3 linked regions of the Mus musculus genome follow. The protein of the gene in region 1 purifies or fractionates together with the protein of each later gene. This does not show direct contact. Links are inferred from orthologs where the notes say so. Each region holds a gene or a part of one and is shown in the gene's direction. Other genes may lie near its edges.

The links. The genes of interacting proteins can lie anywhere in the genome.
Region 2: the proteins of Rc3h1 (region 1) and Serbp1 purify together in Homo sapiens (affinity purification with mass spectrometry, with the first as the bait; 3 studies listed by BioGRID). This does not show direct contact. The link is inferred for Mus musculus from reciprocal best matches to the Homo sapiens genes RC3H1 and SERBP1.
Region 3: the proteins of Rc3h1 (region 1) and Cnot10 purify together in Homo sapiens (affinity purification with mass spectrometry, with the first as the bait; 3 studies listed by BioGRID). This does not show direct contact. The link is inferred for Mus musculus from reciprocal best matches to the Homo sapiens genes RC3H1 and CNOT10.

What each region holds. Positions count from the first base shown.
Region 1 is NC_000067.6:160,961,898-160,965,496, forward strand, and holds part of Rc3h1 (roquin-1), read left to right. Parts: intron 1-373; coding exon 374-587; intron 588-1,581; coding exon 1,582-1,672; intron 1,673-1,810; coding exon 1,811-1,943; intron 1,944-3,052; coding exon 3,053-3,223; intron 3,224-3,599. UniProt on the Homo sapiens protein: Post-transcriptional repressor of mRNAs containing a conserved stem loop motif, called constitutive decay element (CDE), which is often located in the 3'-UTR, as in HMGXB3, ICOS, IER3, NFKBID, NFKBIZ, PPP1R10, TNF, TNFRSF4 and in many more mRNAs.
Region 2 is NC_000072.6:67,265,627-67,269,872, forward strand, and holds the start of Serbp1 (plasminogen activator inhibitor 1 RNA-binding protein), read left to right. Parts: upstream 1-1,352; 5' UTR 1,353-1,470; coding exon 1,471-1,783; intron 1,784-4,246. UniProt on the Homo sapiens protein: Ribosome-binding protein that promotes ribosome hibernation, a process during which ribosomes are stabilized in an inactive state and preserved from proteasomal degradation.
Region 3 is NC_000075.6:114,637,307-114,641,565, reverse strand, and holds the start of Cnot10 (CCR4-NOT transcription complex subunit 10), read left to right. Parts: upstream 1-1,365; 5' UTR 1,366-1,625; coding exon 1,626-1,647; intron 1,648-3,556; exon of another isoform or gene 3,557-4,176; intron 4,177-4,259. UniProt on the Homo sapiens protein: Component of the CCR4-NOT complex which is one of the major cellular mRNA deadenylases and is linked to various cellular processes including bulk mRNA degradation, miRNA-mediated repression, translational repression during translational initiation and general transcription regulation.

The sequences.
Region 1 (3,599 bases):
TTAAATTAGGAAAAATAAAATAAAACTACTAACCTAGTATAGATGCCATTAAAAGTTTTTCCAGATACATGAAAGAAGCCTTAACTCAGTGCCTCTCAGCATTGACTTATAGCTCAGGGGTAAAGTGCTTGCCTGACAAGTTAATGTTCATACATATGACTTAGGAATGGGTAGATTTATCATCTACTATCATCTGTCTGTAATTGTTGGTCATATAATTCTTACTGTGATCTAAAACCAATGTTTTATATGACATCCAAAGACAGCTAAAGACTTATTCTTACTAATAAGAACATCATACTCTTATTAACAACCCCTTTACAGAGCTGGTAGAAATTATGCTAAACATACTCTCATTTTTGCTTTTTGTTAGAATGTAGAAAGTAAAGGAACGAGAGAGCAGAGGTTGGACCTTCAGAGAAGAGCAGTGGAGACGAGCGATGATGACCTCATCCCGTTTGGAGACCGACCAACAGTCTCTCGATTCGGTGCCATCTCTCGAACATCCAAAACACTGTATCAGGGTGCTGGCCCACTGCAAGCTATAGCACCTCAGGGAGCACCCACAAAATCTATTAACATTTCCGGTAAGAATCCTAGAGTGGTAATTATGATTCTCAATGTAATTCTATCAGTGCTTTTAAGACTTTTTTTTAAAGATTTATTTATTGGTTATATGTAAGTACACTGTAGCTGTCTTCAGACACTCCAGAAGAGGGAGTCAGATCTCATTACAGATGGTTGTGAGCCACCATGTGGTTGCTGGGATTTGAACTCCGGACCTTTGGAAGAGCAGTCGGGTGCTCTTACCCACTGAGCCATCTCACCAGCCTGCTTTTAAGACTCTTAAAGGCAATTATTAAACTTTTCCCTATAAGAAAGCAATTGCACTTCAGGCAATTTTAGGAGTATAAACTAAAATTAACTCTTTCTATATTAAGACTGCTTGAGGGGCTAAGGTGTAAAGCTCAGTTGATAGAGTGTATGCCTAATATATATGAGACCCTGTATTCAATACCCCAAACCACATAAACCAGCTATGGCACATGCCAGTAATCCTAGTACTGGAGAGATGGAGGTAGGGAGATCGGAATGTTCAAGTGCAGCTTTGGGTGCATAGGGATTTCAAGGCTATTCTGGGCTAATGATCCTGTCTCAAGGGGGGGGGTGCTGCTTGTGACTTTTATCTTAAATAACTTCATTATTTATTAAAATAAGATTCTTGGAGTCTGAGGAGGTGACTGGCTGGATAAAGAAGATCTGAGTTTGGATCCCCAGTACCCACATAAAATGTAGGCGTGCGTGCGCGTATGCGTATGTGTTGTGTGTGTAATCCTAGTGCTTTGGGAAGATAATCTGACACCAACCCTCACCCCTACATTCAAACACTCGTGCACACAGTGAAAAGAAAGTATGCAAAACCTGAAGGTTCAATGGGGAAGAAACAAATGCATTGTCATTTTGGCAGACAGCTTTCTGCAGAGACAGATACCGTGTGCCGCTGCCTTCTGGATGATAGTGCCTTAGATGAATCAAACTGGTAAATGACATCATAAACCACAGTAAACTGTTCCTTTACAGATTACAGTGCATATGGAGCTCATGGTGGCTGGGGAGATTCTCCATACTCACCTCATGCAAACATACCTCCTCAGGGACACTTCATTGAGAGGTACAGCCATTCTTGTTCACTTGTTATAAATATCTGAAACATTTAGCTTTCCTTGCTTTGTTTTCTAGTCAGTAGTGATTTCACAAAATAAAACTTTATACAAAATTTACCTAATGGTTTCTTTCTTTTTTACCAAAGGGAGAAAATGTCCATGGCAGAAGTGGCCAGTCATGGAAAACCCCTTCTATCTGCTGAAAGAGAACAATTACGGCTAGAATTGCAGCAGCTGAACCATCAGATCAGCCAGCAGACCCAGCTACGAGGACTAGAGGTACAGACCTACAGATACTTTTTTCTTGTGTCAGGAATTTTGATGTAGAGTACCACTGTGTAGCCCACATGGCTTCAGACTCAGGATCCTCCTGTGTGGCCACATTGGTACTTACATCGAGCTTTCAGTGTTCAGCACTGTGCCCGTTTTGTGCTCTAGTTCTGAAGAGCTCCCAAGAATGTTAAGTTGGATATAATTTTCTTTCATCGTGTATATGTATTTTGTGGGGTGGTATGTGCACATGAATACAGATGTTGGAGGATCTGCCTGGAGCTGGAATTATAGCAGTTGTTGTAGGCCTCCTGACATGTATGCTGAGAACAAAACCCAGGGCATCAACAAGAGCGGTATCTGATCCTAACCATCAAAACACCTCTCCAGTCTCCTTAAATAGTAAGTTCTGAGACACAGTAAAGCAGCACGTAATTTTAAAGCCTTTGCCTAACGTTAGTATAGATATCCCTTCTTCAGAGGATTCAGAACTAAATTTAGTTCTTGGCTAATAGAAAAAGAATATTGTCTGAGAATAAACAGTAGTGGAGGAAAAAGGAAAGAAAGCCTGCCTCAAGAACATTGAGTTTTTATAGAAAAAAATATAGGATTTACATCATGGAAAATAGCAATGAGAAAGAAAGATACACATTTATAATTGATTTCTCTTTGAAATAGGAAAAAAGATTAAATTATTTTTGGTGCTGGAAATATGTCTTACCATTCTTGCAGAGGATACAAGTTTGGTTCCTGTCTTACAACTGCCTATAACTCAAGCTCCTGGGGATCCAGCTCTCCTTCTGGCAGCCATAGGCATCTGCATTTCTGTTTAATGTGTACATCGCAACATTCACACACGCCATCTCTGTCTCTGTCTCTGTCTCTCTCTCTCGAAAATAAAACACATCTTTTAAAACTCACTCTCCCTTAAAAATAAAATACATCTTTTAAAATTAAAACCATGTTTCTCAAGTGCTATTAAGACAAAATGTGTTTATAGTTGGGTTATTTTTACTGCAAACTTGTGGCTAGTTTAGTGGTAAAATACTTTGGGTAAAGTGTTTTCTATGTGGCATGAGGTGCGCTGAATTATGTGTGTGCTTGGCTTTGTGCACTAGGCTGTTAGTAACCGGCTGGTGTTACAGAGGGAGGTGAACACCCTGGCAAGCCAGCCACAGCCCCCTCAGCTGCCTCCAAAATGGCCTGGAATGATCTCAAGTGAGCAGCTCAGCTTGGAACTGCATCAGGTGGAAAGAGAAATTGGGAAGAGGACCCGGGAATTGAGTATGGTGAGTGCTGAAGGTGGGGAAGGTGGAATGAACTCTGTGACTCTAGAGCTGATTCCAGGTACCTTGAGGAATAAGTAATATTTAGGGTGATTCTAATAAAGATGAGTTGTCATCTGGTGGTATTATTATTTTAGGTTTGTCCTTTGTCAAAGACTTTGGGGAAAACAAGGGAATTAATTAGAAATTTTAAAGTTTCTGTTTAATGTACTCATTAGGGAAGCAGATGGGATGGTTGCTCTTTTGGACTCTGTAATATTAAGATATGTTTACACAATAAAATGTTACTTTTCATGGTCTTTTATAGAAGAGATATATAGTCTGTACACTGTTCTCTGTACTGCTTTTTCATGCTAGTTTGCAGCATTTTCAAAAGGTA
Region 2 (4,246 bases), on another chromosome or scaffold:
TCAAAGGGTTGTTTAAACTTGATTAGTTATTGGAATTTCAGCACTTGTTGTAATTTCTATCAGGACAGAACTTGGTTTACAGAATTGATGTCAACAGTCTCATAGTGCAGCTAGAAGATTGCCACTAGCACTTAAGTGTGACCTTAGTAAGTTTTATCAATTCTGACAGTTTCATCCCTGTGAGAAAGGGATAGTTATTTATCTAAAAGGATGTGAGGATGAAACATTCGTAGCACCTGCTGCCTGAGGTATGTTTTCTATTACATAATGTATCAATGGAAAAGATTTAAAATTATAGTGTGTATTGGCACTGGATTGTCTTAGTGGGATTTAAGGTTCCCAACTAATGTCAGAGTTAGCATATAATTACGAAATTAGTTTCCTCCCTTCACACATAATACCCAATGTACTATAAAACATTTCCTCTTGAGCACATTTGGGGAGCTGGAGACAGGGTTTTTTCTTATGAAATCCCTGCGGTCCTGGAACTTGCTCTGTAGACCTGGTTAGCCTTGAACTCTGCCTCCTAAGTGTTCAGATTAAAGGCATGCGCCACCACCCCAGGCTCTGGAGCACATTTTACTAACACCGCTGACCAGATACCGACAGATCAATTTATCGCGTTGATTCTAGAAAGCGTTTCCACAAACACTGTTTTAGAGGATGGCCGAGCGTGCAGTTGTGCAGTCAGGACTTAACAGCTCTTAAAGCATGGTTGCAATGACCGGAAAAGGCGCGCAACCCAATTAGTTCAACTCCTCTTTTGGATTCCTTCTGCCACGCAGATTCAACCCTGGAACTCCGTTCCACATTAAACCGAATTGCCTTGATTCGTTACGAAGGGTGGAGGGACAGCTCTAGAAATCCAACAGTCAGGGACGAGCAGCCGTGCGGTCGCAACCTACCGGAGGCTACTGTGGCACCCCCCACCCCCCGGAAGTTTTTGAGGCTCCAGTTACTAGGTCTGGGAGTCACCTTGACCCTCCCAGAAAGGTGGGGAAAGTCCTGGCCGGAGACAGAATGAGTGAAACCAAAGACAGAGAACACTTTCGTGAGCAGAAGACGCCCTCACGTTTTCCTGTTCTCAGAGGTATCTAAAGACCGAGAGTTTAAGGGTGACAAGAGCAGGTGGCAGAACTCCGCCCCGTACTCGCTTCCCCACCTTCAGCGAGCACGCTGCACACTTTCCTTGAGATCCCGCCTCTCAGGCGCGCGCGAAGAGTTGCTGCGCAGTGCACGCTGGGAGTTGAAGTTCAGGAGTAGACAGCCATCCCGGGCTAATCAGTTGTGGCCTACAGGCCCCATGGTGCCGTGCGGCGCAGGCCGCTCCCGGATGTGTGCTTGGCGCCGGAAGAGAAGGCGGCCCCCCTCTCTCGGCCCGGCCATCTTGTGGGAAGAGCTGAAGCAGGCGCTTTTGGCTCGGCGCGGTCCGCTGCAATCCGTGGAGGAACGCGCCGCCGAGCCACCATCATGCCTGGGCACCTACAGGAAGGCTTCGGCTGCGTGGTCACCAACCGATTCGACCAGCTATTTGACGACGAATCGGACCCTTTCGAGGTACTGAAGGCAGCAGAGAACAAGAAAAAAGAAGCCGGCGGGGGCGGCGTTGGGGGCCCCGGGGCCAAGAGCGCGGCTCAGGCCGCGGCCCAGACCAACTCCAACGCGGCGGGCAAACAGTTGCGTAAAGAGTCCCAGAAAGACCGCAAGAACCCGCTGCCCCCCAGCGTCGGCGTGGCCGACAAAAAGGAGGAGACGCAGCCGCCGGTGGCGCTTAAGAAAGAAGGTAAAGCCGGGCGAGGCGGTGGGGAGCCCGGGCTGGCGGGCAGGACGGGGGCGTGCGCCGCCGCTTGCTCGTGCAGGCGGCGGGGCCGCAGAGCCCTCGGAGCCCCTTCACGGTGCGGGGAACGTGGCTGGTCCCAAGTCCACGCCGCTCTCTCGGTCGCTTGCTCGCTCGCAGGCTCGGCGGGAGCCTTCCTTCCCGCCTCGGGCGGACGGAGCGTGCTCCGAGAGGGCGGCCCGGGCGTTCCCGCCGATTCCTGCCGGGCGCTAGCCTCCTGGCTCTAGGCGCTCGGGAAGCAGCGCGGGCATTGCTTCCTGCCCGGCGGGCTCCTGGCTGCCGCTGCCTGCTGTGGGCTCCTGCCCTGCCATCTTGTCCCACAATGGCGCGGACCCTCAAGGAAAGGCCCGGGCTCAGAGTTTCCACTTGGGCTGCGTCTCCGTTTGGGGGTCCCTGTTAGAGTGGAGGGAGGGAGGAGTTGCTGTTTGGGTCCCACGTGTGTGTTTTGTGTTGTGCCCTTTCGCTCTTACGTTAGAAGAAGTTCCTGTAACTTACTGGCGAGAACTAAAGTGTTGGAGAGGAGAAGAATTTAGCCCCACTCATTTTAGAGGGAGTTCCGAATAAAAAACTGGTCATTAGTGGAACCCATCTCATGTCTCCATCTCTTCTTCCAACTAACTCCCTGGAGCCCCCAGGTCATAGGGCTTTGCTTGTTCTGGGCCTCGTGGGCGAAATGAGTGCCCAGCCTGTCATGTCCCGGCAGCAGAACTCAGGCTGCAGCTTTTCCTCCGCACGTGCGTAAAGCGTGGTCGGGTCTTCATTGGCGGCTAATGGTCTCTTCAAGGGCACTAGAAGTTTCATAGTTGTTTTGATTTTAGCATTCTTCTCCATTACTGGCTTATTGTGGATGAAAAGGCAAAGCAATTAGGGGCTAAAAAAGTGAAAAATCAATAGCGAGTACATATAGAATAACCTGTGAATCTTTAAAATTGGTATTATGTTAAAGTGCCTCTCAATGCCACGTGCTCATGAAAGGAATTGTTTCTCATTAGATTGTGTTAGGTTTGAAGTTTTTTGGGGGTGGTGGTGTCTTTCAATGAAGGCTTAGAGTAAAACATCCAGTTCCTAGTAGATTTATAAAAGGGAAGAGTTCTATTAATATATTTGGAAGCATAGTCTGGAGTGTTAGAAAACATCACTTGGGCAGAAGTACTGAGCGGATTAAGCTTCTTGACATTACATAGTTGAATAAGACATTTAATTTCTGTGTTAGGGACACTAGATAGTGTTATTTAAACTACTAAAATTTACCTCCTTTATGACTGTAATTCACAGAAGTACATGAATAAGTTGAGTAAATAAAACACATCACATAGATGAACTCAAAAAATGGTCAAAACATGAAGCATGATTTTAAATTATTCAATTTTCATCACAAAGCCAATTTATGATCTTGCCTGTAAACTAGCATAAGTCATCAATGGAGGACATTTTTATTTATAGCCAGGATTACGTTTGTCATTTACTTCAGAAAACTTTTTCACAATAGTAGTCAACCTTTTTTTTAGTTACGTCCAAGTCTTCCATGGGTTGTACTGGGTATTGAACTTAGAACCTTGTCCTTGCTGGGGAAAATTTTGCATTACACATCTCAAACCCTTAGATCACTCTTTAAAACCAGAGTTGATTTTAAATAAGGTTATATATACATATGGGGAAATTTTGAATAAAACTTCCAGTTAGTGCTGTGTGGTGGTGGTTGGTAGACTTGTAAACAAAGTACCTATCTGTAAGAGTGGAAACAATTGTTAACCTATGGTGTGTCCTGTGTCTCGGGAACACAATGCTGGAATGTAATGTTTTTCTACATAAATTTTGATGCATTTGTCTATTTGAAGAACTTGAATTGGCAAAATGTCATTAAAAGTAGACCAGGTTTTTTGTGTTTAGCAAAAAAAGAAAAGCAACTCTGGATATTAGTGCAGTTAAGAAACTCATGTATCTGGTAAGTACAGTAAAAGAACCTTGTATGCTTTTTAAAAAATTTTTTTTCAGTAGATGAATTTATATTTTGTGGTAAAAGTGGCCGAACCCAGCATTTTGCAAACTAAGTGAAAGTAGCTCTCACTGAGCTACACTCCCAACCACTTGATGAGTTTAGTAAGTTTTTTTCTGATTATGTAGGCCTCATACTGAATATTGGGTGGGGAAGCAAGCCATTGTTCCTTGGGTGTGTTTAGCTTGGTTATCATTACAAGTTCTGAGCTGGTTCTATAGCTCCACCCCAATACACTATACCTCTGATGAAATTTATGTAAATGCCACGGCATAAGGGCTACATTTAAGGCTTGCCCTGAGAATTTACAGAGACTGAGCTTAAATATTAAGGAATTTCACCTTTACTGTATGACTATAGTTAAAGATATCTGAACAAATGAATATATCCTGATGGTGTTCCATTTTCTTAGA
Region 3 (4,259 bases), on another chromosome or scaffold:
GCAGAAACAGGCAGATCTCTAAGGTAAGCTACACAGAAAATAGAAAAATGTAAACCAAATAAATAGCTCCATGTGATTTATTTATTTACATACTTAACTATGCTCCCATCAAAGCACCATTTGGGTCACTTTACAATTCAGTGCTGTTGTCATTTATATATGAAGTTCCTCTCCCTCAAAAGCCTGCATATAGGAGGCCCGGCCCCCAGTCCTTGAGAGTGATAATAGGATTCCAACAGTTTGGAGCTATCCTTGGATTCATCCACTTGCAGATTCGTAATTTGGTGCATCATTAGGAAGTAATGGAAATTAAGGAGGTGCGGCCCAGTGGGGCTAAGTATCTCAGTTGCATGTGCCCTTGGAGACTATTTCTTCTCCCAGCTTCCTCTGCTTCTAGCACCAGGAAGGCAACAACTTTACTCTGTCACTTGTGCCCTGGCACAATGCACTGCTTCACTAATGGTCCAAAAACAATGGAACCAAGTGACCTGGGACTGAAAACTCTGATACACGAGGCAAAAAATCCATCCTTCCTCATTTAAATTCTCCTCTAGGGTATTTATCACAGAAGCAAAAAGTCTAACACAAATGCTTTTAATGTCTGTTTCTCTCCGTGAAATGAACCTCTGTTATTATAAATGCTGTTTGTTCTCTAGAAGGGAAAGGAAGAATGGAGTAGGTGCTTCTGGAACCCAAGGCTATGGTCATTGAGCAAAACCAGAACCAGTTCAGGGTTAAAGCCTTTGCCACAAAGACTGCCAGATAGGGATACATAGTGAGATTCTGTCTCAAAAAATTAAACAAACAAACAAACAAAAATTTGTCACGATATGGGCTAGAGATGAGATAGTTGGGAGCTGGGTAGTTGAAGAGTGGGTATTGTTTTTGCAGAGGATTTGAACTTGAATCTAAATCATTGTGCTTAGTAATCGTGATGCATCAAGCTTTTGTCTTAGACCGACCTACCATAGTAAGTTAATGGTTGCATGACTCGCAATCAGAGAAACCGCATGCATAATGCAGTCTGAATGGCTTTTTCAACTTGGCTACAAATAACAAAACAGCTCTGAAACTTTGAAAAAAAAAAAAGCCTTTTTTCTGGGGGAGGTGGCCTCCTCTAACAACACTTCTCTCATCCTCATTGTTATGGAAAAACAGCCCCTATGAGACTCAGAGCTTAGCACATAAACCTCAGGTGTGGTGCCTGCCATTTTGCTGAAATGCGGAACAAAAAGTCCTTCCCCTTCTGTGTTTCACTCAGGACCTACACTAGTGTACTTCCGGGTTTGCAGAAGGACGCGCTTCCGGGGCCGAGGCCAGCCCTAATTCCCACGCCCAGCTGGCCCCGCCCCGGAAGTAGCGTCTCCCTTGGCCGCTACGGGACGGAAGCTGTGGATGGCGGGGAAAACAGCCCTGCACCGGCGGATGTGTTGGCGCTGTTGCTAGACGACGAGCAGTAACTTCGTCACTTCCTCAGCCCGTGGCCCGCCCAGGACCTTAGCCGAGGCGACTGGAGCGGGCTTGAGCTGAAGAGTTGTCCCCCGCCGGTAGGACTCACCACCAGCCCGGCGGCGGGAGTCGGGGCCACGCCACCTACAGGGAGGAACTCGAGCCGAGGCGGGAAGATGGCTGCAGACAAGCCTGCAGGTGAGGCGCCCGCGCCGCGACCCAGGGGCTGACACACTGCGCGCGGGGACGGCAGGGCCCGCGTGGGGGACCCGAGGGCCACTTGACTTCGCTTGGGTACTTGTGCCCTTCACTCTTCTCAGCTGTCTCTACTGTGAGTCCAGTGGATTTTCTGCTGTGACACATCTTGATTCTACTGCACCCCATCTTGATTGCACTGCATTTGCCTTGCTCTCCAAGTTAATTCTGGCGCAGGAAGCTTGAATTTGTCACGCCGCTGTCCAGACGCTTTAAGGGAAAGTCTATCCGAGCACGCACGGTTGCCGTAAGGCCCCCCCAGGCTCAGCCACTGAAAAAGTTCCCTCTGGTCAGCGTGTCCAGTGGAGTCATTCTGAAAACTGTCTAAAGAGGCGTGACGTTTCACTGTGTCTCCTGCCTGCTCTCACTTACCTTGTTCCTCATCTGATTTTTCCCGAGCTCCTCGAGATTCCTTTTTAAAAGTCTTAATTATGTGTGTGAGTGCAGGTGCCTGCCGAGACTAGAAGAGGACATTGCGTCTACTGGAGCTGGAGTTACACAGTTGTGGGCCACCACTTGTGGGTGCTGGGAACCCAGTCTTGGTCCTCGGCAAGAGCAGCGAGTGCTGTTAACCGCTGAGCCATCACCTTTCCAGCCCCAAGATTAAGTTCTTTTTTTTTTTAAGTTATTTATTTATTTATTCATTATATGTATGTACACTGTAGCTGTTTTTCAGACACCCCAGAAGAGGGCATCAGATCTCATTAAGGATGGTTGTGAGCCACCATGTGGTTGCTGGGATTTTGAACTCAGGACCTACGGAAGTGTAGTCAGTGCTCTTAACCGCTGAGTTATCTCTCCAGTCCCAAGATAAAGTTCTTAATTTCTGTGGTTTTCTGTGGTACTCCATCAGGAATTTTTCCCATTAGGGAATTATGAGAGCCCATTTATTACCTGGAAAGTCTGCTATATTTCTTTGAAGAAAGTAATGTTTAGAGAGTGGGGCGGAATTGATTGGTTGATTGATTGATTGATTGATTGAGGCAGGGTCTCACTATGTATGTAGCCTTGGCTGTCCTGGAGCTCGCTATATAGACCAGGCTATTCTCAAACTCACTAGACATAAAGCCTCCTGAGTGCTAAATTAAAGTTGTGTGCCATTATACCCACTGCCATAGAATTTTAGCTAGGTGATCAGAGAAAATCTATTGTGAGGTGATTCCTTTTTTAAAGTTATTTTTAACTTTGGGTGTATGCACGTGAGGACAAATGCCTGAAGATGCTGTCCGAGGAGTTGGGTCACGCAGAGCTGGAGTTACAGGTAGTTGTGGGTGCTGGGAATCAAACTCAGGCCCTCTGAAGAGCAGTGTGTGCTTTTAATCACTGAGCACCAAGGTGATTTGCATGTCTTGGCTTTCAAGGATCAAATCCAATCATCAGGGCGCAAGTATCTTTACCCACCGAGCCCCTGCTGATCCAGCTCCTGCTGGGATAGTATTGAGCACAGATCTGAATAAAGTGAAGGGGTGATCCTGTTGGTGTGGGATGCAAGAAGGGTGCCAATTGCCTGCCCGGGTCTAGACGGGACCGGGACTGTCCTTGTTAATCAAAACAGTGCTGCTTCTGGAATCATTTCCCGGGAAGCGTCTCACCAGATCCAGGACTGCCCGGCTTGAGTTGCACCTCAGTCACGTGGCGTTCCTTCACTGCTTGCTTCCTTCCTTCACAAAGACACTGTGCAGGCATCCTTCAGATGATGAAGTGAGTGTAAGACAGCCTGCCTCTGAGGACCTGCACTCTGGACCTCTGCTGGGTTAAGTGGCATGGTTCTGGCTGTTGGGTCCTCGTAGTTGCTCTCTTACACTTTTCTTTTTGTTTTGTTTTGTTTTCTTTTCTTTTTTTTTTTTTTAGGTTTTTTTTCGAGACAAGATTTCTCTGTGTTGCCCCTGTCTGTCCTTGAACTCCCTCTGTAGACCAGGTTGGCCTCAAAAGCAGGAAATCCACCTGCCTCTGCCTCTGCCTCTACCTCAGAAGGCTGGCATCAAAGCGTGTGCTGACCCAGCTGCCAGCACCACTACCACCCGAGTAGTACTTTATCAGCACTTTACTCAGTGGGTAAAGGTGTTTTCTTTCAAGCCTGACACCTGAGTCCATCCCCAGGACTCATGCAGAGAAAACTGCCTTCTCCAGGTTGTCTCTGACACACGCACACGCAAGTAAACAGCACCAGCCAGTGTTTCTTATGGTAGTGGTGAAAGAGGCAGAAGAGACATGTTAAACTTATTTGGAAAGTGCCAGCCCAGGGTCCAGGAAGTGAAGGGGAGACACAGTGTATTCCATCCCTGCTCTTGATCCACCATGGGCTCTGAGAAGCCGTGGCAATCACTTCCTGTGGGAGTTTTTTTAAGGGGCCTCACCATGGCCCCCTCTGGAAAAACAGCCTCTGGAAGCAGTTTTTGAAAGTAGCACACGGGGAGAGGATTTGTCTGTGTTGCTTCCTCCTGCTTTCTTCTTCCGGTTGTTCAAGGGCATCTAAAAGGGAGGAACAGAGTCCTTGTGTGTCTCCTTGGCAATTGATCAGCAGGATCCTAAGCTCGGATCTTCCCGCCTCAGCC